Linked DNA regions of Neodiprion lecontei. The protein of the gene in region 3 binds, or shares a complex with, the protein of the main gene of each other region. Links are inferred from orthologs where the notes say so. Each region holds a gene or a part of one and is shown on either strand. Other genes may lie near its edges.

What was found. Proteins that work in one complex are often made in the same cells at the same time.
Region 1: exosome complex component RRP40 (region 3) and exosome complex component MTR3 share a complex: the UniProt entries of both Homo sapiens proteins name them as parts of the RNA exosome core complex. The link is inferred for Neodiprion lecontei from reciprocal best matches to the Homo sapiens genes EXOSC3 and EXOSC6.
Region 2: exosome complex component RRP40 (region 3) and exosome complex component RRP45 share a complex: the UniProt entries of both Homo sapiens proteins name them as parts of the RNA exosome core complex. The link is inferred for Neodiprion lecontei from reciprocal best matches to the Homo sapiens genes EXOSC3 and EXOSC9.

What each region holds. Positions count from the first base shown.
Region 1 is NC_060261.1:14,538,097-14,545,693, forward strand, and holds exosome complex component MTR3, read right to left. Parts: upstream 4,308-7,597; 5' UTR 4,103-4,307; coding exon 3,952-4,102; intron 3,351-3,951; coding exon 3,097-3,350; intron 2,765-3,096; coding exon 2,618-2,764; intron 2,355-2,617; coding exon 2,058-2,354; 3' UTR 2,035-2,057; downstream 1-2,034. Other genes in the region: splicing factor 3B subunit 5, read left to right, coding at 1,625-1,882; non-structural maintenance of chromosomes element 1 homolog, read left to right, coding at 5,247-5,346, 5,444-5,588, 6,076-6,271, 6,947-7,063, 7,139-7,262, 7,397-7,512. UniProt on the Homo sapiens protein: Non-catalytic component of the RNA exosome complex which has 3'->5' exoribonuclease activity and participates in a multitude of cellular RNA processing and degradation events.
Region 2 is NC_060265.1:3,639,802-3,648,279, forward strand, and holds exosome complex component RRP45, read left to right. Parts: upstream 1-2,949; 5' UTR 2,950-3,244; coding exon 3,245-3,310; intron 3,311-3,520; coding exon 3,521-3,615; intron 3,616-3,681; coding exon 3,682-3,904; intron 3,905-4,022; coding exon 4,023-4,240; intron 4,241-4,322; coding exon 4,323-4,550; intron 4,551-4,656; coding exon 4,657-4,790; intron 4,791-4,966; coding exon 4,967-5,049; intron 5,050-5,242; coding exon 5,243-5,369; intron 5,370-5,620; coding exon 5,621-5,682; 3' UTR 5,683-6,444; downstream 6,445-8,478. Other genes in the region: proton-coupled amino acid transporter-like protein pathetic, read right to left, coding at 153-370; histone deacetylase complex subunit SAP30 homolog, read right to left, coding at 6,777-6,905, 7,021-7,254, 7,370-7,540. UniProt on the Homo sapiens protein: Non-catalytic component of the RNA exosome complex which has 3'->5' exoribonuclease activity and participates in a multitude of cellular RNA processing and degradation events.
Region 3 is NC_060264.1:3,210,906-3,219,247, forward strand, and holds exosome complex component RRP40, read left to right. Parts: upstream 1-2,821; 5' UTR 2,822-2,858; intron 2,859-2,914; exon of another isoform or gene 2,915-3,179; 5' UTR 3,180-3,184; coding exon 3,185-3,375; intron 3,376-3,654; coding exon 3,655-4,174; 3' UTR 4,175-5,797; downstream 5,798-8,342. Other genes in the region: lissencephaly-1 homolog, read right to left, coding at 6,244-6,317, 6,440-6,788, 6,890-7,036, 7,158-7,421, 7,605-7,811, 7,903-8,056, 8,134-8,177. UniProt on the Homo sapiens protein: Non-catalytic component of the RNA exosome complex which has 3'->5' exoribonuclease activity and participates in a multitude of cellular RNA processing and degradation events.

The sequences.
Region 1 (7,597 bases), on a different chromosome or scaffold from region 3:
TTTCGGTTAAGGTATCAACAATAATTCTGTACAAGAGGATGGGTTAGGTTAGCTCAGGATAGGTTAGATTGGCGGCGGGGGAGGGGGGGGGGGGGGAGGGGGGCACGGTGTAAGAATAAGAGGTGGTCCAACTGGCCCTCGGTTACTGTGATTATTTTGTCTTAGTACGACGGAAATCCGCCAGGGGCCTTATGCGTCTGTGAGGATGAGTAAGATAAGGGCCGTGTTCGAAAATTGACTGACAGTACTGTCAGCAATCTTTCATCTCTTTTGCGCTTCCCAGTTCGTGAATAGCTCTGACTCTGTCCTAGGGAATTTTGAGTACTGTTAGTCAATTTACGAACACGGCCAAGATCTTAACGTCACCAGCTAACCTACAGCGGTGGTGGACATTGTGAGAATGATGATCATTTTCCTTTTTTTTTCAGGTCGCAAATAGAGCCAAACACCAGCCCCCTGACACTCGCCACTGCTCGTATACTAAAAAATTGTATGCGTTTTGTCCCCGTTTTTTAGTTCCCCTACGTGGCGCTAGTAAACTTCTGACACCCTCGCTGCCTTCGTAGACCGCGCGCACGCTTTTCAGACAACTACTAGCGCCACTAGTGGTGGAGATTGGCGGCAGAATCGAGGGACATTTTGCGAACCACTTTTAGCAGCGTGTGTCAGGGAACTGACCAAACACCCAACACAAGACGGACAAAACTTGTCTTCAGTAATTGTACACATTAGGGTTATTTTCTGTACTACTAGCGTTGCTAGTGTAGTTTTTCTACCGAAGTGGCATTGGTTGCAGGTATGCCAAAGATCAATCCGGAGTGAGAGAGATAGGTTGAATGCGGTCAGCTTGACCACTATCTGTGCATCATCAGTTTTAAGCATAGACTTATAAAGATAGACTGAGCGGTCTTATGAGCCGCTTGAAGCAAACATTTAAAGGACAGAAATATGCCGGGAGACTCCCTTCTCTCTCTGACGATATTTGGGGCTGGGATCGAGGCGATAGAGGAGAATGAGGCGAAATTATGCGCCTATATCTACAGCTGTTCCACTTCCACTGCTCCGTTGTCTTCCACCATGACGCCAATTGAAAAGTGAGAGCAGTAGTCCTGATATATCTCTGTCCCTTATATGTGATTGTCAGTGCCTCTTCTAGGAGCGCTTAGTCTATCTTTATAAGTCTATGGTTTCAAGACGAAGCGTGATTTGTAACGTTCGACAATATCTGTCTAGTTTTGTGTCAAAACTGATAAAAATACGGACTCGGCATCTGGACCTGCATACATACATCAACAAAACTTTTGTGAAAACCAAGTAGTTAATCTTGTACATACATTAGAAAACTGATCTCGTTAATCATTTATAAGAGAGACCAAGAAGTGTACTAGAAACTTATCAAGAGCGTTGTCAAAAGTAAGTAGAAAAGTATATCAAGTGAAATTTTTCACTATTTTAGTAATTGTTAATATTGTGAAGTATAACTGACATTACATATTGCAAGAGTACATTCGGCCATACGACAGACGGTGATAAATGAATTTATGGAATATTGCGTCCCATTAATAGCGCTAACCTATAATTTCGAGGTTATGTATCACGCATTTTGTTATTGTTCAATTTAGGAATGGGGGAACGTTACAATATCCATAGTCAGCTGGAACATCTTCAATCCAAGTACATTGGGACAGGTCATGCAGACACAACGAAATTTGAATGGTTGGTTAATCAGCACAGAGATTCATGTAGCTCTTACATGGGGCATTACGACCTTCTAAATTTTTTTGCGCTAGCTGAAAACGAAGCCAAGGCACGCGTCAGATTTAATCTGATGGAGAAAATGCTGCAGCCTTGTGGCCCACCTCCAGAAAAACCAGAAGATTAATCCTATCTATAAAAAATAAGCTGCGAACTGATTTTTTCTGTTACTCTAAAAATATAAATAAACCAATTCTTATCAACTCAAATGAATGTATAAATTTTTATGTACATCATGCTCTCCTTGTCAAACTAATCAATGGAAAATTTCAAGGTTCATTCATTTCTAATCATGTTTTTATTTAATTTTTTTCCTGTTCCTTTCGCTTTAAAGCTCTGAGGACAGTTTTGACTAAACATTGCTGAACAACTGGACATATATTCTTATTAGCTACAGTGAGGGTTTCGATAGCTTGTTTTATGCAATCTATGTTAATGCTTCCAACGAGAAAAAACTCTGAAATCTGGTCATGTTGCGGTAAAGCAGCTTGCATGATCAGTCCATGGTTATTGGGTGGGTTTGGCTTTGCTGGTGCAGAATTACAAAGTACCTCTTCCTCCACTGTCAGATCCAAAAACATTGTATCTTTATAGAACCCCTGAAAATGAGAAGTTCGTTAACAGTTTAAGGAACATAAATATCTCAACAGCTGTTATTTTTATTACAGTTTTCCGTCTATCTGCACTTCTGTAACACTATAATTGAAATTTTCAAGAGACTCATATCCATGTGAAGAATGCAGTTTGACAATAGTTCATTATGAATGAAGATGTTTCTATTGTGAAAGATTTTACGAAGATATTTCAAATTGAGTTGGCCTGTGGAGGTTTCACGAGCATCTACTGCCTTTACTTCACTTACTGCGGAAACTGCAGTAACCAGACCAAACATGGGGACACTTGCATCTGCTAATGCAAGACTGGCACACATTATGGCTGCTGCTAAAGAGGAGCCACCGTTGTCGAGGACCAGAGCATACACGTCGACTTGAAAATTTGGGAACTCTTGCTGTGAAAGGTGAATTGTGCATCAACTAACAAATACAGAGTTGAATTGCTAACACTTTATGAATTAAAACAGTTGTGAAAATAAAACTGAAATGTCTTTGAAGAAAAATTTTTTTAGCATAGTATTCATTTGCCTATTTTGGTACGCTTAATAATTTGAACGTATTTTATGGAGCCCAAAATTTTATAAAAATCATTGATTTCCTTTGTCCATTTCATATATAGAGGTTGTTAATTAATATTTACATTCCTGAATATTTACATACTGAAACTATTTTTTCTAATTTACAAAAGTAGCTGATACTCGTCTCGTTAATGGTAAATAATAAATACCCTGCAAACAGCTGGTTCTAGTGATCGTTGCATAACGAGACTGAATTCCTTTTCCTCCGCATCTTGCTGGTGTATTCGTCTCTTTGCACAGGCAAATGGGGCGTATTTAAACTCGCAAAAGAGTTCACCTTGTAAACTGTATTCATTCTTGTTTGGAATTTCCCTCGGGTCAAATACTGAACATACCACTTTTGTAATTCCAACCTCTATGTAGGCTGATCCTTTTGCTTGGCTGATAACACCAGTTTTGACAACTGCCATTCAAAAATCAAGAATATCAGATCGTGCTATATTTTAATTAATCATTTTATTCTCCAATTCGCATTCAGTTTAATAGACTTTCCATATAGACTTAACGATTTAACCACTCAGAAAGCCTGAGATCAATTTGACGCAGAGTTGGACAATTGAATTATGCTGTGTATTGCGCAAGTTTTGAATTAAGGCCCTTTGTACAGATGATCGGTGATATGACACTATGGAATTGGTACTGCAAGTTAAGATATCAATGATCTGTAAAAGGGTTTCATAATTAGAATGTTTAAAATGATTAAACTTTTGTGTTTTTGATAAGATTTTAATGTTTTATGGGTTATTTTGCTTGCTGTACAGATATTCGCAAATTGTGTAAAAACATTAAAGAAATCGTAAACGATAGTATCTAGTTATAATGCATAAATGCAACTATAAATAAACATCCGTTGCGCTTTACTATAACATATTTACTCAACTGTTTTTCTGTTTTTTGTACTTATGCTAAAGGCTGTAGGTCCTTTTCTAGGTTTGTAGGTCCATATATTTATCCAGTTTTGAGAGAAGACAACAAAATATAACAGGAGTCATAACCTTACTTACAAATTTTTCTGAGATCCTTATGCTCTCGACCATCAACTCTTTTATGCAGTGATTTTTTTGGTTTACTTGATTTCGATTTATTAACGTCAGTGTAGACGCTATACGGTACGGAAACCTCTGGACCATTTATACGTTTCTGATCAAAAGGCATTTTGTTTTTAAATCAGAGACAACTTATAGTTTTAAATAACAAACGCACATGCGCTTACATACGTCAACAGAGGTATACCCTCACATCAATTGATGTTCTTACATATAGAAGTTTTTTTGTCTCACAAGTGGTACCGCATAGTCTTTCCGAAAAGCACGAAGTAAGAGGGAAGGAGACTGAACTCCACCGAACCACACCGAACTCCGATTCCAAAAGTGGGATCAATTTTCAGCGAAAAGTGAGCAGTTCGCTGCGAAGAATAACCGAGATGACGAGTCACGCATGCGCAGTACGATTTAGCTGCGTCTTTGTATCTCTCGCATAAAGTGCGAGTGAGACAGTTTTGTTGTTGTGACAGCAAGTTCATGAGGTTATGGTGCGTAATAATTTCTTATCATAATGGTAGAATCACAAATATCGCTTTATTATTTGCAAAAAAGAAACGTGAATACGCTGCGAAATCAGAAATTATAGGTGAGTATTTTACGAACGTTGTTTATGGAACTTTAAGCCGTAAATAGTGGAGCATTTGAATCATTCTGGACGTTCTTACTCGTTTTTGCGAATCGCGATATTTGGAGTGCGTTCCGAAATTAGCTACTAGCGGTAAAATTCCTTCGGACAGAGGCAGAGCTACTCATGAACTAGGCAGCGCAAGAGAGATAACTGATTGTTGATATCATCGGGAGCTAATATCGGAACCACGGTCGTGTTCGGAAAACACACTTGGTGCATACATCCTTCACGGGGTACAGCCTGACAGAAAAATCGCCACACCAACAACCCACTCTTTTAGGGACCTACTAAATTCTCTAATCGTCATCTTTCCGAATGGCCAAATTTCCGATTCGCTATATACTCGAGTAATCAAATTCCCGACAGCCAGCTGGCGGCATTTTCAAGCTCGTCGATAATCACGGTTTAACCCCTACAAACGAGTTGGTAAATGTAGGACGCTGTTGTTACCCCCATGCCTGTCATACAAATGATACGATGAAGGGTATCATTGGCAATCGTGATCCATGATTTTAGGACAGTCAGAGATTGCGGGTGTTTTGATTTCTTCCCGCTTCCGGCATATTGTCACTCAAAGAGCATGCATTGATAGATTAATCACAGTAAATTGCATACAATCAACTTCAGCATGTCGTATACCAATAACCATCGTGCGCTATTACAAGTGATAATGGAACGTGGAGCTGTGAGCACTGCCGACGCGAGAGAACTAATTGTCAAGTTATTTCGTAAGTTACCCCTGAGCTGTGATCCAAATAGTCGTACTTTTTAACATACAAACACTTTCCGTCGAAGTCAAACAGCAATATTTACGTTTATTTCCAGAACAGAACGAAAGCACGCAGACATACATACATCAAATCAATGTTAAACTGGAACCTTTGAACATGACTATAAAACTTGTAACCTGTGAATTGACAGGTCATAAGTATTGGATTCTGATCAGTACGTTGATTGATAAAACTGCGAGGTATTGTTAATATGTACATTCCATAGTCATGTCAAACTGATTAACACGTGGGGAAACTTGTCTCTGTAAATGTTCAGTTTGTCGAGGCTGCCTGTTTTGTCATTTATATCGCAGGACACTGCACAACTTTGCAAATTTTGAGAAGGGGACTCGTTGAATCGAATTTCATATTCCAATAGTAAGAACTCTGGCATATCACATTAGTGTTTCGAAATCTCAAGATCTAAAACACTCATCGATTTGACATTTGCTGCACGAGTATTTACATACAGTCAGTCTTTTCTGTTTATGCGCGCAGTCCTAACGTAAAAGTAACAATCAAATCAAAATTACTAGAAATGAGTAGCCCGATTTACTTCAACTATGGTAATAATGTTCCCTTTTATGATTTGTGAGAGTTAATTCGTTTGTAATTGAATAGAAAAGTCAAGTGCTCCTTTTAACCTTCGGTCAAAGAAAGATTGCGTTAATAAAATCTTGAATTAAGCTTCCAGAATGAATTTTCACCTGCACAGCTGGAACTGCTCAGAAAGATTTTATCTGAAATAATTACTTCGGACGATGGTTGTGCTCCTAGCACTGCGTGCTTGAATTTGTGCTCTTCTCTCGACACTCAAATGTCAAAAGCAGATGCCGAAGATTTCTTGGCAAAGATGGTCGAGAAAAAGTGGTTTGTCAAAGAGGTAATAGAATTAAATAATTTGATGACTTTATAATCATTGCCCAGGATGCATGTTTCTTTTATGTTTTTTCAACTTTTGATGTAATGTAGACTGCATATCTCACGTGTAGTGTGCGAGACTATCGAACGATGTAATCCGAGTTCAAACCACTAGCTAGTCGATGAGGACCTAAGCGACAGCTCGCAAAAACTGTAAGATGGGTCAGGTCATTTAGGCGCCCAATCGACAAGCTGAAGTTTGAACTCGGTCTGGCTACACTTGGGCAAAGTTTTCGGTAGTTTTCCTTGCTTTCTGTGCCAACACAGATGTTTCTAATGAAAATTTTAAGACGGCTGCAGAGGCATAATTAATGGTCAGTAACCCATCCCTCCCTCATCCCACACAAACTGTCCGCTTATGGGGTCATACCCGAAACGGTATTGCGGGACTGGAAGTAATTATTATTATTGTCATTACTATTCTTATAATTATTAATGAACAGCCCTACGATATTGATTAGTTTCGATAAATATAACTGTAAGCTTTGAATAATACTTGAAAGTGTACAATTAATGATTCTATGCTAGCTATATCTAGTATTGCTTGGATGTTGATCGGATGGAGACCGAAATAAAAAGTTGTTCGGATCAGTTACAATTGTTCCATATCAGTTTACTAATTTACGGATATTTACAGCATGGTAAATTTTACATGGGTGTACGCAGCATAGCAGAGTTGATTCCGTACTTCAAAGCTAGTTACTCCGAAGAAGCTCTTAAAACCTGTGCTCTTTGCCGTCAAATGGTCTTCCATGTGAATACTTTGAATCTTTTAATAATATATTTTACAATTTTCAAAATCTTCTAATTTTGATCTATTATTAAATAGGGTGAACGCTGCATTTGCTGTCACAACGTTTTACATATGCTTTGTTTTGCTAATTGTGCGAGAGTCCAAAATCCACCAAAGTGTCCCAGCTGCAACACTATCATGTCCACAGACAACATTAACGGTACGAAACAAACTATCTGCCTGTCGTGTGCTTATAATCAAATTAAACTGTCTTACTGTGACCTGTCAATTCATAGGAATTTATTCAAATTCTGTCTTTTGACTGACTTTTGATGTTTGTTCTATGATTCTCAGATTTTGATGCATACAATGATCATGTGTTGGATTTTCCGGAAATGAGCGTAGAGACGGAAAATAGTGAGAAAAGAACGACGAATCCTACGAAAAAAAGAAAATACAGCGCTAGGTAATCATTATATCCGCAGACCTATGGTCTAATCAAACCCTGTTCCTTGTGAACCTGCAGTTCGGTTCCGGCGTTCAGTATATGATGTA
Region 2 (8,478 bases), on a different chromosome or scaffold from region 3:
ATACATTGAACGGCTGGGTAAAGATGAAAAACAATCGACCGCAGGTATCAGTTATAAAGGAATTACAAATAGTCTTTTAAGAAGACGCGAAGATCGTGTCAGGCTGTCCTACCTGAAACTCGTGGTAAACAATTTATGACATTATAACTCACGGTTCGTCCAGAGGCAAGTTTTTAATGACGGTGTCGCAGGGATTGATGTACTTGTTGTATCCAAATAATCCGAATAGCAGGTATATAGTCGAGCTAAAAGTCATGGATATCGCTAGTATGGTCGGCAGGTGATCGGGCGTTTTCATGGAATTCTCCAAAGGCATAAGGAGGCACATGTTGTGAAGCGCGAACAGGAATATGGTGCAGTAAACAGGCATGGCTACGAAGTTTGTATACGCGGTCAGACGCGAGGGACTCTTCATGTCTTTGAAGAAATAGTAGAGAGTGACGAAGAAGCCCGCTATCAAAAACAGGCTACCAACCACCGACATCGGGGTCAGGTACTGCAGGTTTGGGACCAGGGAGACCAAGCAATAGAACGGCGCGGACAACAATATGTATATTCTGACGTCCCAGACTATCGTGGAGAAGTATTCGATTACCTGAAAAGGTGAAAATCGTGTTCTTAGTGATAGTAACTGTTGACCTGTTCGATAATCAGTGCCATGATCAGACATTCGATACGCGTACTTCGATGACGCTCGACCTGACATTGCCTTATCTGTATTTGCATTTAATTGAAGAGTTCTCTGCTCACCTGTTGAAACGAGGTTGCTACGTACAGAATGTATATTATGACGGTCTGGTATTCCGCGAAACAAGCCATGACGTTTGTTACGGCTTTAAACGTCCTTCCGTACTTCCTCAAAAATTCCGGTCCGTATTCAAACGACGAGCTGGCCACTTCTCCCAAGTCCAAAGAAGGCACTCGAACACGCTTGCAAAGAATTTGGGCGCATCGTACCTGAGAATGATTGTGATTAGTTTACGAGAATAATTATTATCCAGAATCGGTTCGTTTCGCAATCCCGACTTCTCCGTAGTATCATATTAGTTTTCAATCATTCTTTGGAATTATTCACTTACGGTTGTTATCGCCGTGTACATTGTGACGAATCCCGTCAGGATGGAACAAGCCGCTCCCGAAATAGTACCGGTCTCTTTGAAGGCCCGCGGCAGGAAAAGAAGACCACTGCCGATTGTAGATTTGAATAGATGCATGAAAACGGCTGCATCTCTGTAATCAGATCTCCTCCTAGATCGAGATTACAGCTTTGGGGGACGAGAAATTTTTCAATTTTGCCATCATTAGTTTCACAATAATAATTATCTTTCGTGCTGCTGCAATAAATATTTCAGACTTACACGCGCGGTGTCTTCGAAGCGTGTAACAAGCCATGCAAACGTTTGTGTCTTATACCCTGGAGAAAATTTCTACAACTACGAATTTTTACGCAAGTCGGAACATTTCGTATCATTTCTCGACGAATTGTTAATTTTCGTTAACAATTGTAGTAGCTTGTAAATTCTTTTATTGAAAGAAATACAAATTTTCATGGTAAAATTGACGAGTTTTCTTGAGAACCTATGCACATGTACAATTTTGTAGGAATACAATTTTTTGCACAAAATTGTACGAAATTTCCGAACATCCCTAACAATTTGAAGAAAAACGTTATAGAAATCATTTTCACCAGCGTAGCGTATGCACATTACGGGCTACAGGAAGTACAACGTACTCACGAATTTAAATTTTCCTGGGATCGATGTAAAAAAGGATCATATTCGTCCTCTTCGACTTGTGCTGATCTACCCTCTGACTCTCCGTGCTTTAAACCTCCCGAAGGCTTAGCTGGTTTTTCAATACGCTCGCTCATTGTCAGTTGACTAATCTATCTGGCTAGATATTCATTCGCGATATTTGTCGGTATAGAATAATTTCAGCAAATACCCACATTTGTATCATAGAATTGATTGTAAAGTATTTAAACAATTTTAAAAGGTTATATACATCACCCGATGTCAAGTGTCCCATATGTTTGTCAGAAGCAAAAAAAGCATTCTACGTACCAAACAATTGATGGGTGACAACACACACCTGGAAAAACTGGAAATGCCAGGGTATTTTAAAAGGGATCATTAAAAAACCTAGAATTTTCAGGGGATTTTTAATTTGGTCATGGAAAATACTGAAAATATCAGTTTTCCATCATGGGAATAAGAAATGATTTTTTGAGGTAACAAGTTTTACTTTTTTTCGTCGAGATAACAAATTGGCTTAAATTCCCTTTTTTGTAGATCATATTTTTCTTCAATTCGAATTGAATTTAAACCGAATAATAATAATAAATAAACCTGGATAATCTCGAAGAGAAAACCTAATCGTGAAACAGTTGTCATAAATAAAACGCTGGTGGAAACGTTTGTTGCACCCAACGTATAACCTCGGAGCCTCGGTAGCGCAGTAGGCAGCGCGTAAGTCTCATAATCTTAAGGTCGTGAGTTCGATCCTCACCCGGGGCATTATTTTTTTACTCTTCCAAAAGCAGTAATTGACAATGAAACACCTCCATTCTGTGAGCTATTCTACATTCCATCATTTTTTATTTGGTGTATTGCGAATGGATTCTCGATGTCAATTAACGCCAGGTAATGTCAAGTTCATCACGTCTGCCTTTCAGACCGGACGCTGATCGACATCAAGCATCCAAGTGTTTCTTGGTATTGAGCAAAAAAATTCTTTCTCTGAGGTTGCATCCGTTGTTATTTTATAAAAATATTGATATCCTAGTTTTATTTTAGTTGAGTTTAGTTAAGAATCGTCTTCACGATGCAATCTGAGGTACGCGAATCCTACGCATGTAAATTCAACTCCTGCTCAAGCGTTGGCAATAAAAATAAGAGACTGGTTATAAATCAATCGAATGCAATTTTTTCTTTCATCTAATCGTGAGTGCGTTGACTGAAGATATACCATTCCTCTTTGGTTCAACCCTTATATTCGGGGGGCAATATTATCGCTCTGCACTTGCCGCCCCGTTTTACAGAATCCCAGTGTAAAATCACGTCTGTGAAACAGAATACTGTAATTTCCTCCGACCTACTAACCGTGGAGTAAAGTCCATACGGTTCGCATTCTTTATTGGTTTGAATTTCGAACGAGTCGAAGATAAGATACGATTTGTTGTTATACATTTACAAAGAAATTAAAATAAATTGTGTGAAAGCGTTCGCAAATAAATTTATACAGAATGAGGGAAACGCCGTTATCAAATTGTGAACGAAATTTTATAAATAGAGCAATAGCCGAAGACACGGTAAGTCAGAATTGTACTATTCATAACCTCTTGTTACAGCACGTTTTTTTTTCTACTTATTGTTGGTCTTGACTTTATAAAGTGTACGTATTTCAAACCTATATCAATATTGATTCTACCCGTATATCCTCCACGGTTAGAACAAAATTATTGCTACGTTAACTAGTTTCTAACCTATCATTAATGGGTTTTCCTAATTATCTTATTCAGCGTTTAGATGGACGACAATTATTGGAAGCTCGACCAGTGGAAATCCATTTTGGAGCAAACTGGGGCTGTTGTCACGTAGCTTTGGGTGAAACTAAGTAAGGCGTTACATCTTATGTTACTGCTTAAAAATTCATATTTGTCACTGGCTGTACATTTTTCAGAGCAATTGCCCAAGTATCCTGTGATATTCAGCAGCCAAAGGCATCGCGTCCAAATGAAGGCATGCTTCATATCAACGTTGAGTTCAATCCTATAGCTGCCCCACACTTTGAAGCAGGCAGACAATCTGAACTTGCAATGCAAGTCAACAGGCAGTTGGAAAAATGCTTTAAAGATTCTAGATGCGTCGACTTGGAGTCTCTCTGCATTGTAGCAGATGAGAAGGTGATTTTAATGCGGCCGAATTAACTCGAAAAGAATATTTTTGCATCAATTGCTTTGCGCTAAGTTCTTTGATTAGTGCAATGTGAGAATGCTGCATAGTTAGTAATGATTTACGTAGGTATGGAACCTGCGGGTAGATGTCAACATTCTCAATCACGACGGCAACCTTGTCGATTGCGCTTCAATCGCTATACTAGCTGCACTGACACATTTTCACAGACCGGATGTCACTACCACTGGTGATTCAATAACTATCCATTCGTTTGCCGAGAAAGATCCGCTCCCGCTAACGTTACATCACTATCCAGTATGCGTTTCGTTTATTGTCTTTGAAAGGTGAAGAGAGAATTTGTTAATTTACAATCAAATAGTCATTTCTCAGTTTACTTCAAGCTAAAAGCATTTTAATCTTTTTCAGTGGCCAAATCGTTATGGATCCTACTTACATGGAAGAGAGAGTAGGTGCATCGCAATTAACCCTAGGATTAAACTCTTACAGAGAGCTCTGCAGCTTGCAGCTCTGCTATTTGGGCAAGACATCTGTGACGGCTGATGTGGTGCCGAGCATTTCGCCCCATGCAGCTAATTATGCTAACAAATTAGTTACGCAGATTAGAAAAGCAGCACAGCAAGATGTTGAAGCAAAGTAGGTTGGCTTCATTTCAAGAGTTCAAAAGCGTTTCTGCATCCGGAATGTAAATCTTGGTAAGAACTTGTACCGGCCAACAATTGTAATATTTATACAATTTCAGGTACAACAAAGAAGATCGCGATGTATGTCGATTGAAGGAATGCATTACATTCGGAAAATTGACGGCAATGACAAAACCTAAGCTCAGTATTAAACTTGCGCACTGGGTTGCTGGGAAAAGCAGCCCCAAAAGTGGTGAGATTAGTGGCCTAGTTTGCATTAATGATGTTTACTATAGCTTGGCAATCAAAATTCATAAGAGATCAGTGGTTGGAGTAAATATCAAAAATTCCCACTCTTTGAAAATTTGTAATATCGCATTTGCTGTTATTTATATTATAATTTGGGGTTTTGTAAAATTTCGTTTTCAGATATGGAGACCAGTGATTTCCAAGATGAGGATGACAATATTAAAACACTTGGGCATGGATCTGCTGAGCTCATTACTAATATGGTACACATTTTCTTGTATTCGTTGTCAATGACAAAATTAGCATACTTCAATCTTAGTTATTCAAACGAGTTGACCTGATATAAATATTTAGTTTAAAGTGCTGAACTTAAATTTTTACCAAGTTCAATCATCTAATTTCGCACTGTATAATTTTCGTGACTCGAAACTATTCGTGTTATTACTTTTGTAACAGAGTAAATCAGTCGGAGAGGGAGGCCCCAATACTTGGCAGGCATCTGAAGAATCCTCTGATGATGAAATCGAAGATATTGAAATCTTACAGGAAACGAAACTAGAGAAAAAAGTGTTGGACGATATAGGTAACCTTTTCTGTTATTTGCCAAATTTAAAATACCCAATAACTTTTCTAGATTTAGTTTGGAATATACTCAAAAGCTTTCCAGGTCGAGCATTTTATACGATTACATTCAGTGACTTCATTTTTTTCCCCTAATAACGATAAAACTTTTTTGTCAAGTACTTTAGACAAGTTCAGTTTCGGAAATTTTACACAGCATACGTAACTACTTATTAATAATTCATAAACACTTCAAAAGCAATACTTTTACAGATTTAGGTGGTGACAGCGAAGAGGAAGATACTGTAACCGTCAGCAAAAATGATATCATGTAGTTTAATAGAAAAATGATCCCAAACATTTCTTGCATTCATTTCCACACGACAATTTCTCTCATTCCCCGTTTCAAAACATGCATTTATAAATTTATCAGAGTACAAAGCTTGTGATGATACATCAATTAAAATTATGAAGAATTTGTGATGTGAACTGTTTGCTCTGTACACCATTTTTATTCTATATTTTATTTCACAATCAGCGAACTTAAATTGTGTAAAGACATACCGAAAATGAAGAACTTTTTGCGAAAGGGAGTGAAAAAGCAACACGATTTTTTTATATAAAAATGTATCTGGGTCGAATAAGGTACACCATAAATCTTATCTGCAAATATTTTTAGGTACTATGTAGGGGAGCGGCGGGCAAAATGGGTCCCCTAAGGGGAAATAACATTAGAACAGTTTCGATAGCGCTATTTTTTTCGTCTTTAGCCTAAGCCTACATTTCAAGCGTTATCGAAAATTTTTTAAATCTCATTTGAATGTACAGAGAGCCCATTTGGCTGCCTCTCCTCTATAAAGTTCATCCGTATTCCCATCTAAATTCAATATCACCAAACATTTTCCCTTAATTCGTCGATACTATTGCACTTCGCGTTAGTTGATTTATTCCCTGAGAGAATTTACACTGAATTGTTCAAGTAAATCGAATTGATGTTTGAAAAAAAAGGCAGAAGCACGATATTCCGTTGTGAACAACGATTTTGAAAAGTAAACCATTTTTTTTAGTTCCATATATGGATACGTTCAATTCATGTATAATTTACAAAAAAATTAATTTCGAAATCAGCTCAATTGTATAGAATTAAAGTGGATAAATTATTATTCCGTATAACGAATTTTTTTTACTTAGTTTGAAAAGTGGATATTTATATTCTTAGAAATAAATTAAAAATACATTGATATATAATATAATAATCTCAATCATAAGAATTGAGGGAAAATAAATATCACATTTAGATTTAAATATTTTCATAATGTTTCTAGGGCTATCAATCTATCTTAGTTTTGTGTCGAAAGCAATCTATTCGATATACCTTGCCATACGATTTCCAATGTAAGTGTAGAGGACACCGAGTGACAAGTCCATGTTACGTAGGTTCACTGGTCAATCCATTCTTCTGATCTAACTTATTAGCATTAGTCTTAACAGTGAATATGAAGAATGTGAGAGCTTCTTTTTCCACGACAGGAATTGTCTTGAAATGTTTCATGAGCGTCTGTAACATTGCAAAGCAAAATAAGCATTAGTTGACATTCGTAGTCTTTCTCCGCATCCATCTATAGCTGGTTGTATGATTTTTCAAGATGATAAATAATGGAAATTCAATTTACATCTGCTAGTTGAGCTTTGTTCAGTCCAGGTCGTGTTGAGATTTTGTAGTGACGTTTGTAACGGCGCAAAGTTCCGACTTGAAGCTGAAAAAGGTCAGCTTCTGGCAGATCGTTATCAGTTTCACCCGAATCCTCTTCGGACTCCTTTCGCCTGCGTTGCTGCTGTTGCTGCTGCTTGGACCTGGCGCAGAGTATAACTTGCTTATGATATTCGCAGATGTATATGTGACGGGCCTGAAACAAACAAGAAGCACTGTGAAATTGCCCATGAGAACAATATTTCCTTTACACATCGAAAACCTTTCGAAGGTAGCAACTTTTGCTTCGATACAAATGTTTGAGAACGTACCATGTGATCAAGATTGAGCTTGAGACGTTTCTGAGTGACGGTTTTCTGTATTCTCTTACTGTACGAGGCGTTGCTGGTAGGACGAGTACATCTCTCTCCCTCGTCCACCAGGCAACAAATTTGATCCGCGGCTCCCCTCGAGTCTTCTTCCCCGGTGCTAAAGCCGTTCATGATGAGCGGTGAAATTTACCACACAATTAACAGACGTATCAGAGATGGTTCAAATCCACATGAGTTTGGTGCCAGATGCGGTGCTATCTGTTTCAGCCGGACATTTTATCCGATGCCGATTGACGCAACGTGTGACTTGACTTTTATCAAACAATTACCGCTAGGTAATTACAAAATATTTTAAATGATTGTTAGGTCTTTTATGCGAACTGGTTAAACAGATGACGGTCCGGTCCCTGTCTTCTGGCATTAGAATAGCAGTGAAAGAACATCTTGCGAACTGCACAGAATTATCGTCGGGAGGTCGAATAGCGACAGGTTGATAATCCGGCGCAAAACTACGTTTCGAACAATATTTTATACGCTTTTTTAACTATAACCTCGACAACGTAATTGGAAAGTTGAACACGAATTGTTTACAGATGAGGCTACGTCGCGGTAGTGAATTACCAAACTGGGAACGAGAGTTTCTTGGAAATAAAAATTTTTACTTCGACAGCCACATCGGCGTTTTCGTTAAATATGTATATTATTCTTATTTACACTTCCTCGGTTTCTCTCGCACACAACGCAGCCATGCGCACACGCACACAACATCGCACAGTTTTCGTCCAACCAACGCAGTGCGTCGTATTACGTTTCGGAATCCCGAACGATTCCGAATTCAGAAGACGGGGACAAATTATTACTCCCTGTTTCCAACCTTGGCAGCTGGCGACATCTATAACAATTAACATTTGACCTCGTCATTTTAAGTCGCGTTTAACGCGACGTTGGGCGTATTTAAATGCGAAACTACCGTGCGAAGATGATTTTTCTCCATTTATTCGCTCTGCTAAATCATTTAAACCCGCACTCGATAGATTGCTTGTAAAATTTGGAACTTGTTTGTTGCTTATCGTTTCTCCCGCCCTTTTAACCGGCAGCCATATTGTTGG
Region 3 (8,342 bases):
AACCTGTATTTTTGACACTTTTCAGCAGGTGCTTTTTCCTCCGTAGTTTCTCTCCTGTTGGTCCCACGCTCTTTTCGCCGCGTTTGCTGAGTTCCTGGGGGTCCAATCGGTCGGGACAGGGTCATACAAATCAATTCCAAGACAAAAAATTTTTCGGTCAAAAAAAAAGGAAGGTTAACCCCTGTGTATTTTTGGCTAAAATTTTCGCGATTTTGAAAAGTGCTGGAATAAATTATTTCTGACACTAATCCGACGTAATTTTGCGAGAGAAATCGATTGAGCGCAGTCCCAGGACGCTGCGATCAACGCATCAGAAGTTACGGCCAAAAAAGAAAGAACCCGTATTTTTGACACTTTTCAGCGCGTGCTTTTTCCTCCGTAGTTTCTCTCCTGTTGGTCCCACGCTCTTTTTGCCGCGTTTTCTGAGTTCCTGGGGGTCCAATCGGTCGGGAAAGGGTCATACAAATCAGTTCCAAGACGAAAAATTTTTCGGTCAAAAAAAAAGGAAGGTTAACCCCTTTGTATTTTTGGCGAAAATTTTCGCGATTTTGAAAAGTGCTGGAATAAATTCTTTCTGACACTAATCCGACGTAATTTTGCGAGAGAAATCGATTGAGCGCAGTCCCAGGACGCTGCGATCAACGCATCAGAAGTTACGGCCGAAAAACGAGAACCCGTATTTTTGACACTTTTCACCGCGTGCTTTTTCCTCCGTAGTTTCTCTCCTGTTGGTCCCACGCTCTTTTCGCCGCGTTTTCTGAGTTCCTGGGGGTCCAATCGGTCGGGAAGGGGTCATACAAATCAGTTCCAAGACAAAAAATTTTTCGGTCAAAAAAAAAGGAAGGTTAACCCCTTTGTATTTTTGGCGAAAATTTTCGCGATTTTGAAAAGTGCTGGAATAAATTCTTTCTGACACTAATCCGACGTAATTTCGCGAGAGAAATCGATTGGGCGCAGTCCCAGGACGCTGCGATCAACGAATCAGAAGTTACAGCCAAAAAACGAGAACCTGTATTTTTGACACTTTTCAGCAGGTGCTTTTCCTCCGTAGTTTCTCTCCTGTTGGTCCCACGCTCTTTTCGCTGCGTTTTCTGAGTTCCTGTGGGTTCAATTGGTCGGGAAAGGGTCATACAAATCAATTCCAAGACGAAAAATTTTTCGGTCAAAAAAAAAGGAAGGTTAACCCGTTTGTATTTTTGGCGAAAATTTTCGCGATTTTGAAAAGTGCTGGAATAAATTCTTTCTGACACTAATCTGACGTAATTTTGCGAGAGAAATCGATTGAGCGCAGTCCCAGGACGCTGCGATCAACGCATCAGAAGTTACGGCCAAAAAACGAGATCCCGTATTTTTGACACTTTTCAGCGCGTGCTTTTTCCTGCGTAGTTTCTCTCCTGTTGGTCCCACGCTCTTTTCGCTGCGTTTTCTGAGTTCCTGTGGGTTCAATTGGTCGGGAAAGGGTCATACAAATCAATTCCAAGACGAAAAATTTTTCGGTCAAAAAAAAAGGAAGGCTAACCCCTTTGTATTTTTGGCGAAAATTATCGCGATTTTGAAAAGTGCAGGAATAAATTCTTTCTGACACTAATCCGACGTAATTTTGCGAGAGAAATCGATTGAGCGCAGTCCCAGGACGCTGCGATCAACGCATCAGAAGTTACAGCCAAAAAACGAGAACCTGTATTTTTGACACTTTTCAGCAGGTGCTTTTTCCTCCGTAGTTTTTCTCCTGTTGGTTCCACGCTCTTTTCGCTGCGTTTTCTGGGTTCTTGGGGGTCCAATTGGTCGGGAAAGGGTCATACAAATCAGTTCCAAGACAAAAAATTTTTCGGTCAAAAAAAAAAGGAAGGTTAACCCCTTTGTATTTTTGGCGAAAAGTTTCGCGATTTTGAAAAGTGCTGGAATAAATTCTTTCAGACACTAATCCGACGTAATTTTGCGAGAGAAATCGATTGAGCGCAGTCCCAGGACGCTGCGATTAACGCATCAGAAGTTACGGCCAAAAAAGAAAGAACCCGTATTTTTGACACTTTTCAGCAGGTGCTTTTTCCTCCGTAGTTTCTCTCCTGTTGGTCCCACGCTCTTTTCGCTGCGTTTTCTGAGTTTCTGGTGGTCCAATTGGTCGGGAAAGGGTCATACAAATCAATTCCAAGACGAAAAATTTTTCGGTAAAAAAAAAAGGAAGGTTAACCCCTTTGTATTTTTGGCGAAAATTATCGCGATTTTGAAAAGTGCTGGAATAAATTCTTTCTGACACTAATCCGACGTAATTTTGCGAGAGAAATCGATTGAGCGCAGTCCCAGGACGCTGCGATCAACGCATCAGAAGTTACAGCCAAAAAACGAGAACCTGTATTTTTGACACTTTTCAGCAGGTGCTTTTTCCTCCGTAGTTTTTCTCCTGTTGGTTCCACGCTCTTTTCGCTGCGTTTTCTGGGTTCTTGGGGGTCCAATTGGTCGGGAAAGGGTCATACAAATCAGTTCCAAGACGGAAAATTTTTCGGTCAAAAAAAAAGGAAGGTTAACCCCTTTGTATTTTTGGCGAAAAGTTTCGCGATTTTGAAAAGTGCTGGAATAAATTCTTTCTGACACTAATCCGACGTAATTTTGCGAGAGAAATCGATTGAGCGCAGTCCCAGGACGCTGCGATCAACGCATCAGAAGTTACAGCCAAAAAACGAGAACCTGTATTTTTGACACTTTTCAGCAGGTGCTTTTTCCTCCGTATTTTCTCTCCTGTTGGTCCCACGCTCTTTTCGCTGCGTTTTCTGAGTTCCTGGTGGTCCAATTGGTCGGGAAAGGGTCATACAAATCAATTCCAAGACGAAAAATTTTTCGGTCAAAAAACGAGGAAAAAAGTAAGGCTAACCCTTTTGTATATTTGATGATAATATTGCCGATTCCAACAAATGGTGAAATCAATTTTTTTGAGCACGACGTCTGTGTCATTTTGCGCGAAGAACAGATTGAGCGCAGTCCGAACAGGTTATGTTAAGCTAGTTAGGTCTGGTACGCAAGGCTCATACTCAACTCTGTCAGGCACGTTTCTACCCATAGTTTCACCGGCCACCCGTGAGATTACATTGATAGATCAGGTTAGAATAGTAAACATAGCCTCTAAATTACTCTCAAAGGCGACACAGACGAGGCTCCCACGCTTATACCATTACCTCTTGCAGTCAGAATGGAAGTAAATATTAAGGATGTTGTGGTTCCTGGCGATGTCGCGGTAGAAATAATGAAATCAAGTGAAAAAGAGCGAGTGATTCTTGGTCCTGGACTGCGTCGCGACTGCGACCGCGTCCTTGTCACCAAAGCTGGTGTACTGAAGAGGCGAAAACCAGCTATATTTTACGTGGATAGCTATCAGAAAAGGTTAATAATATGAAATGTTCTATGTATTGGTCTGTCCAACTCAGCAATAACGTAAGCTGATGCATGTTTATCATATCATTTGATCAATAAATAATATTCTTGCCTGATTCAAGGACTTTTCTTCGTTGCTGTTCCTTTTCGCTTCGATATCGATTAACTGATATTTTTAGAATAATTGTATTTCGAGCCTGTTTACCTTTTACTTATCAACATTATGCTTCTTTGCGGAAACATCTCTTTCGATATGTTCTAAATAACAATTTATTTATTTCATTACAGGTACGTCCCGAACAGAGGGGAGAATGTTGTTGGAATAGTGACGCAGAAGGCTGGGGATATTTACAGAGTTGACATCGGGGCAGGGGAACTGGCATCTCTATCCTACTTGGCTTTTGAAGGAGCAACAAAAAAGAATCGACCTGACATTGTCGTAGGTGACGTGATTTTTGCCAAGCTACTGGTGGCTAGCAAAGGCATGGAACCGGAGTTGATATGCGTCGATTCTCATGGGAAGAAGGGCAAGTTAGGTGTCTTAAGTCCAGATGGGATGCTGTTTGATTGTTCCCTTAGTTTGGCGAGGAAATTGCTTCACCCAAGTTGTCAGCTGTTGACATTGCTTGCCAAAGAACAGGCCTACGAAATCGCCATAGGTATGAATGGAAAGATCTGGATGAAGGCCAGATCAGTCCACGAGACAATAGCGGCTTGCAATGCTATTTTAGCTGCGGAAAACACCCCACCAGCAGAAATGCCAGCCTTGTGTTCGAGTATCGCCCGTAATTTACTCCGAATAAGCTAAGAAAAAGACTAATTCCACAACCCTTGGTGTACATCCAGATATTTTAAGTATTTTATGAAACATGCTTTTTTTTGCAATAAAATCTTCCTTCGATATGAGTGATAATCTACTTAGATTTATTGAAAGCAATAGAGCACACAACAGTCGGCAAAAGATAGTGAGAAAGAATACTCTGTAAGTTAGAATGTAGTTTTTGGAGACAATTTTTTATTAAAGAATATAATACTTTAATACCATCATCGTTTGAGAAGATGAAGACAAAGGACGTAAACAAGGAAAGTAGATGGGCAGGGTACAATATTGAGTGGTTACTATTTTAAAATTAATTATTATTCATCACGTCTATTTGGTTGCAAGTCGTATGTGTGTGCTCTAATTTCTACACGTATTCCAAGTGTTCCTACTCATATTATAACAGTACTATCCTACTTAGTATCCTAGTATACTTCGTTTCACACCCCATTCATTGTTAAGCTACAGAAATTATGATCTCCATACACAAGTGTAATCAATATTTTTCAATTTCACAAATTTTATTGGTAATTTGCTATTAATTTACTGTATATAGTAATATTACGTTAATAATGCACGTCAAGAAGTTTGTCCAGCATTGAAAAAAAGTTGACGTTACAAATTCCAACAAACTTTCCACCGAAATTGAGAAATTAAATCTTGGTAAGAACGCGAAGAATTTAACGTCAAAAATCATTTGAGTAACAGCAGCCAGTCCAACGTTACGCTTGACCATAGATCAAAACGTTATTGGTAAAGAATATTATTATATTACCGCAATTTTCTAATTCAAATTAGTATAATCATAACGATTTCTCATTGCTGGGCAATTAATTGTAATCAAAGTATATGTATACTGGGTTCTTAAAATTTTGTTCAATTTTTTAGTGTGATGAAATAGATAATTTGAGTACAGTAGTCACAATAGGGTATAAGGTAGATTAATGGTTAATATTCAATGTGTAGTAGAATAGTATAGCATAGCAATAGTATATTATACGTGTATGTATATAAATAAAGTAATAGCGTTACGTAAATAGTAGAGCCAGGTCAACTTCAGAACTTCTCGAGCTTAGGTTTTGGATGAAGACTTGCGTTTGGACAATAATCGATGTTCCAGAAGAAACTGTCAAGCTAATTACAGGGTGAAGGATTTTAGAAGTGTATATATGGTATAGTCATTAACGTCCGTTAATGATGATCGATCAACGATCAAGCTCTAGATAATATTTACTTATTCAACGAGGCTACTGTATCTTGCATGCAATTTATTCTATCAATTGATAACATGTTTTGCATCCGCGACAAAAATATGAAGATAGAAAATCACGTCGAACAAGCGATATGTTGTAAAGAATTTGATTCAATCTGGTATTAACTGAAGTCAAAACTGGCTCTAATAATTATCATTTCATAATTTTATCATCAAGCTCAAGAGGCCTCAACAAGAGACTCTGAAACCTTACTTCACGTTTCAAATAACTGTCAGGCGGAAACTCTTCCCGCAAAACGGACTGAAATGAATGAAATTTTTCTCAGGAGTGCATTAAGATAATCGTGGTCTGTATATCCAATAATATATTGTATCACGGCGTGATAAATTTATTCAAAGCTTGATCGCAAAAATATCGAAAGCAGTCAAAGGGCTTTACATTTCGTTACTTGACCGATAGACCTATTTATTGCGCCACTAATCTGGAACTTACAATTTAGCGAACCAATCGAGTCTGCTTGTCTCTTGAAACATTTTTTTCTTACAACAATATCATTGTACACGATAAATTTCTCTATTTTCTTATGGCATACGATACCTCTTCAGAAGCCTCTTAAAGCCGTTTGTAGCCCTTTAATTTGAATACTTTATTACTGTTAAACAATATTATTACAATTACTAATTTATTATACTTTATTATAAATTAATTAAGGATCTCTTAATCGTATATGCTTATGTGTTTTTATAATAGTATGTACGATAGCTTTTCAGCAGCTTACTTCTGTGCCATCCCCATATGGAACTGGACTTTTGTTAAGTTTCAGTAATTTCAGAAACTGGGTGACTAGCGGCATTCCCAAACCTTTACCGTCTGATCCACGCTACCGCTTACCACGTATGGATGGCTCTTGTGAAAATCTACAATACAAAAGATGATGTATATCATGCCTCCATTCTCATAGCGGCTGAAGGGCTAGCCCACTTATTGCAATATTCCCTCGAGTATTTAATTAAAAAGCGGAGAAAACCAAAAAACTCACCAACAGACGTGCAGAAGTGCATGTGTGCCTCAAGCGTCTTCATTGACCGTTTGTTGCGGGTGTCCCATACCCGCAGCGTCTTATCGTCTGATGCACTGACTATATATTTACCACCTGGGTGGAACACTATTCCACGTACCCAGTTATCATGCCCTTGGAGAGTGAATAGACATACCCCAGCCCCAACGTCCCACACGCGTATTGTCTTGTCTCGGGATCCAGATGCCAGGAAGGGTCCCTCGTGTGCCCCTTTATTGTCTGCTCCAGCTGCAGCGTTGATCGCTCCACGCGATGTTTCCGGGGCCCACGCGATACATTCCACAACATGATCGTGGTCCCTCAGTTCGACCTGTAAGGAACCAAGTATAGTTTATATCATGTTATTCATAGGATTGATTATTTACTGGATAAAAATTAATGGAGGGTACAATTAAGGAGCATTTTTAGTACCTTGGTTTCTTTAGTTGCAACGTGCCATACCCTGACAGTCTGGTCGTTTGAGCAGCTTGCAATCAGTTCGCCGCAAGGACTCACCCGTGCCATACGGACCCATTCTCTGTGCCCCGCAAGCGTTTTTACACAATAACCAGTAGCAACCTATGACCAAACAAATTGGTGATATTAAATCGTTTGTCACATACAATCCTTTCTCTAAAAGAAATATCAAGAGAAATACCATAACTGCTTTTCAGTGTGAATTTTGCACCCTACTCCTTACCTCCCACATTTTTATGGTCTTGTCCCGTGACGCGCTGACAATAAAGTCTCCTTGCGGCATGAATGCTACCGAACTAACGTTGTGGTCATGCCCGTGCATCGTCTTGATGCAGGCAAATGACTGTTGAAAGTCCCACAGCTTGATTGACATGTCAGCGCTGCAGGATACCAAGAGCTTTCCAGTAGTATCGAATGCAATATCTTGAACACTGTCCGTGTGGCCTTTGAGTGTTCGCTCAAATTCTCCGCTTTCGAAATCCCACACCTAGGGAATATTAATAATTCAAATTCTGCGGGTATACATGAGATATACACGTGGGAGTTGTACAATTGAGGAGGTTCATAATCAAATATATTTACATGTGACAATTTTACACGGTATTGTTAGCCAAGAATGATCAAGGAGATCCTACTTGCACATGCCATGTTAAATTGTATTGAAACTCACCTTTAGCGTGGCGTCTTCACTGGCAGAAACCATAAGGCTGAATACTGGGTGGAAAATTACTCTGTTTACAGGCGCCCTATGCCCAGAGAGACAGAACTTTTCAGGTGGCCTCGGAATCCATTCGGTCGGTGATCTCTTACCCCTAGTAGGCGCTCCCTCAATAAATTCTTTTTCTGCCTCTGATAGTTTCGACTCGAGTTCCATGACCTATAAATATGAAATAACATTGGTGGATTTTATCATGTAACATGTATGACCCAAGGTATCCAATTGATGTGAATGGGTATGACATGCATACCTTTTTTTGTAGTCTTATGACTGAAGTCCACTTCTTCTCGAGCAACCCACCGTATTTCCGCTCCACCTCACCAGGCATGTCAGCTTCCTTCTTGAACGCTTCCAGGGCATCTTGATATCCGTTGCTACTCAGATAGTCTGCAATCGCCTTGTTTCTGCAACGTAAATGATTTTTTATTCATTTAACAACTTATCTTGTTCCATATAAATCACAGTAAACTTTTGATCGTACCTGTAGAGCATATACTCATGCAATGAATTGGCAATTTCCACCATCTAGTCTAGTAGGTTGTTGAAAAGGACTGGGGTATTTCAAGTGAATTTTCAATCAACATTATTGAAGTGTTTTATGAGCAACATAAGCATGGAGAATCTGTAACTTTTGTCTATGTATAGCAAAAAGTTCAGTTCTCTTCTCAAAACAATCTACATGAGTGCATT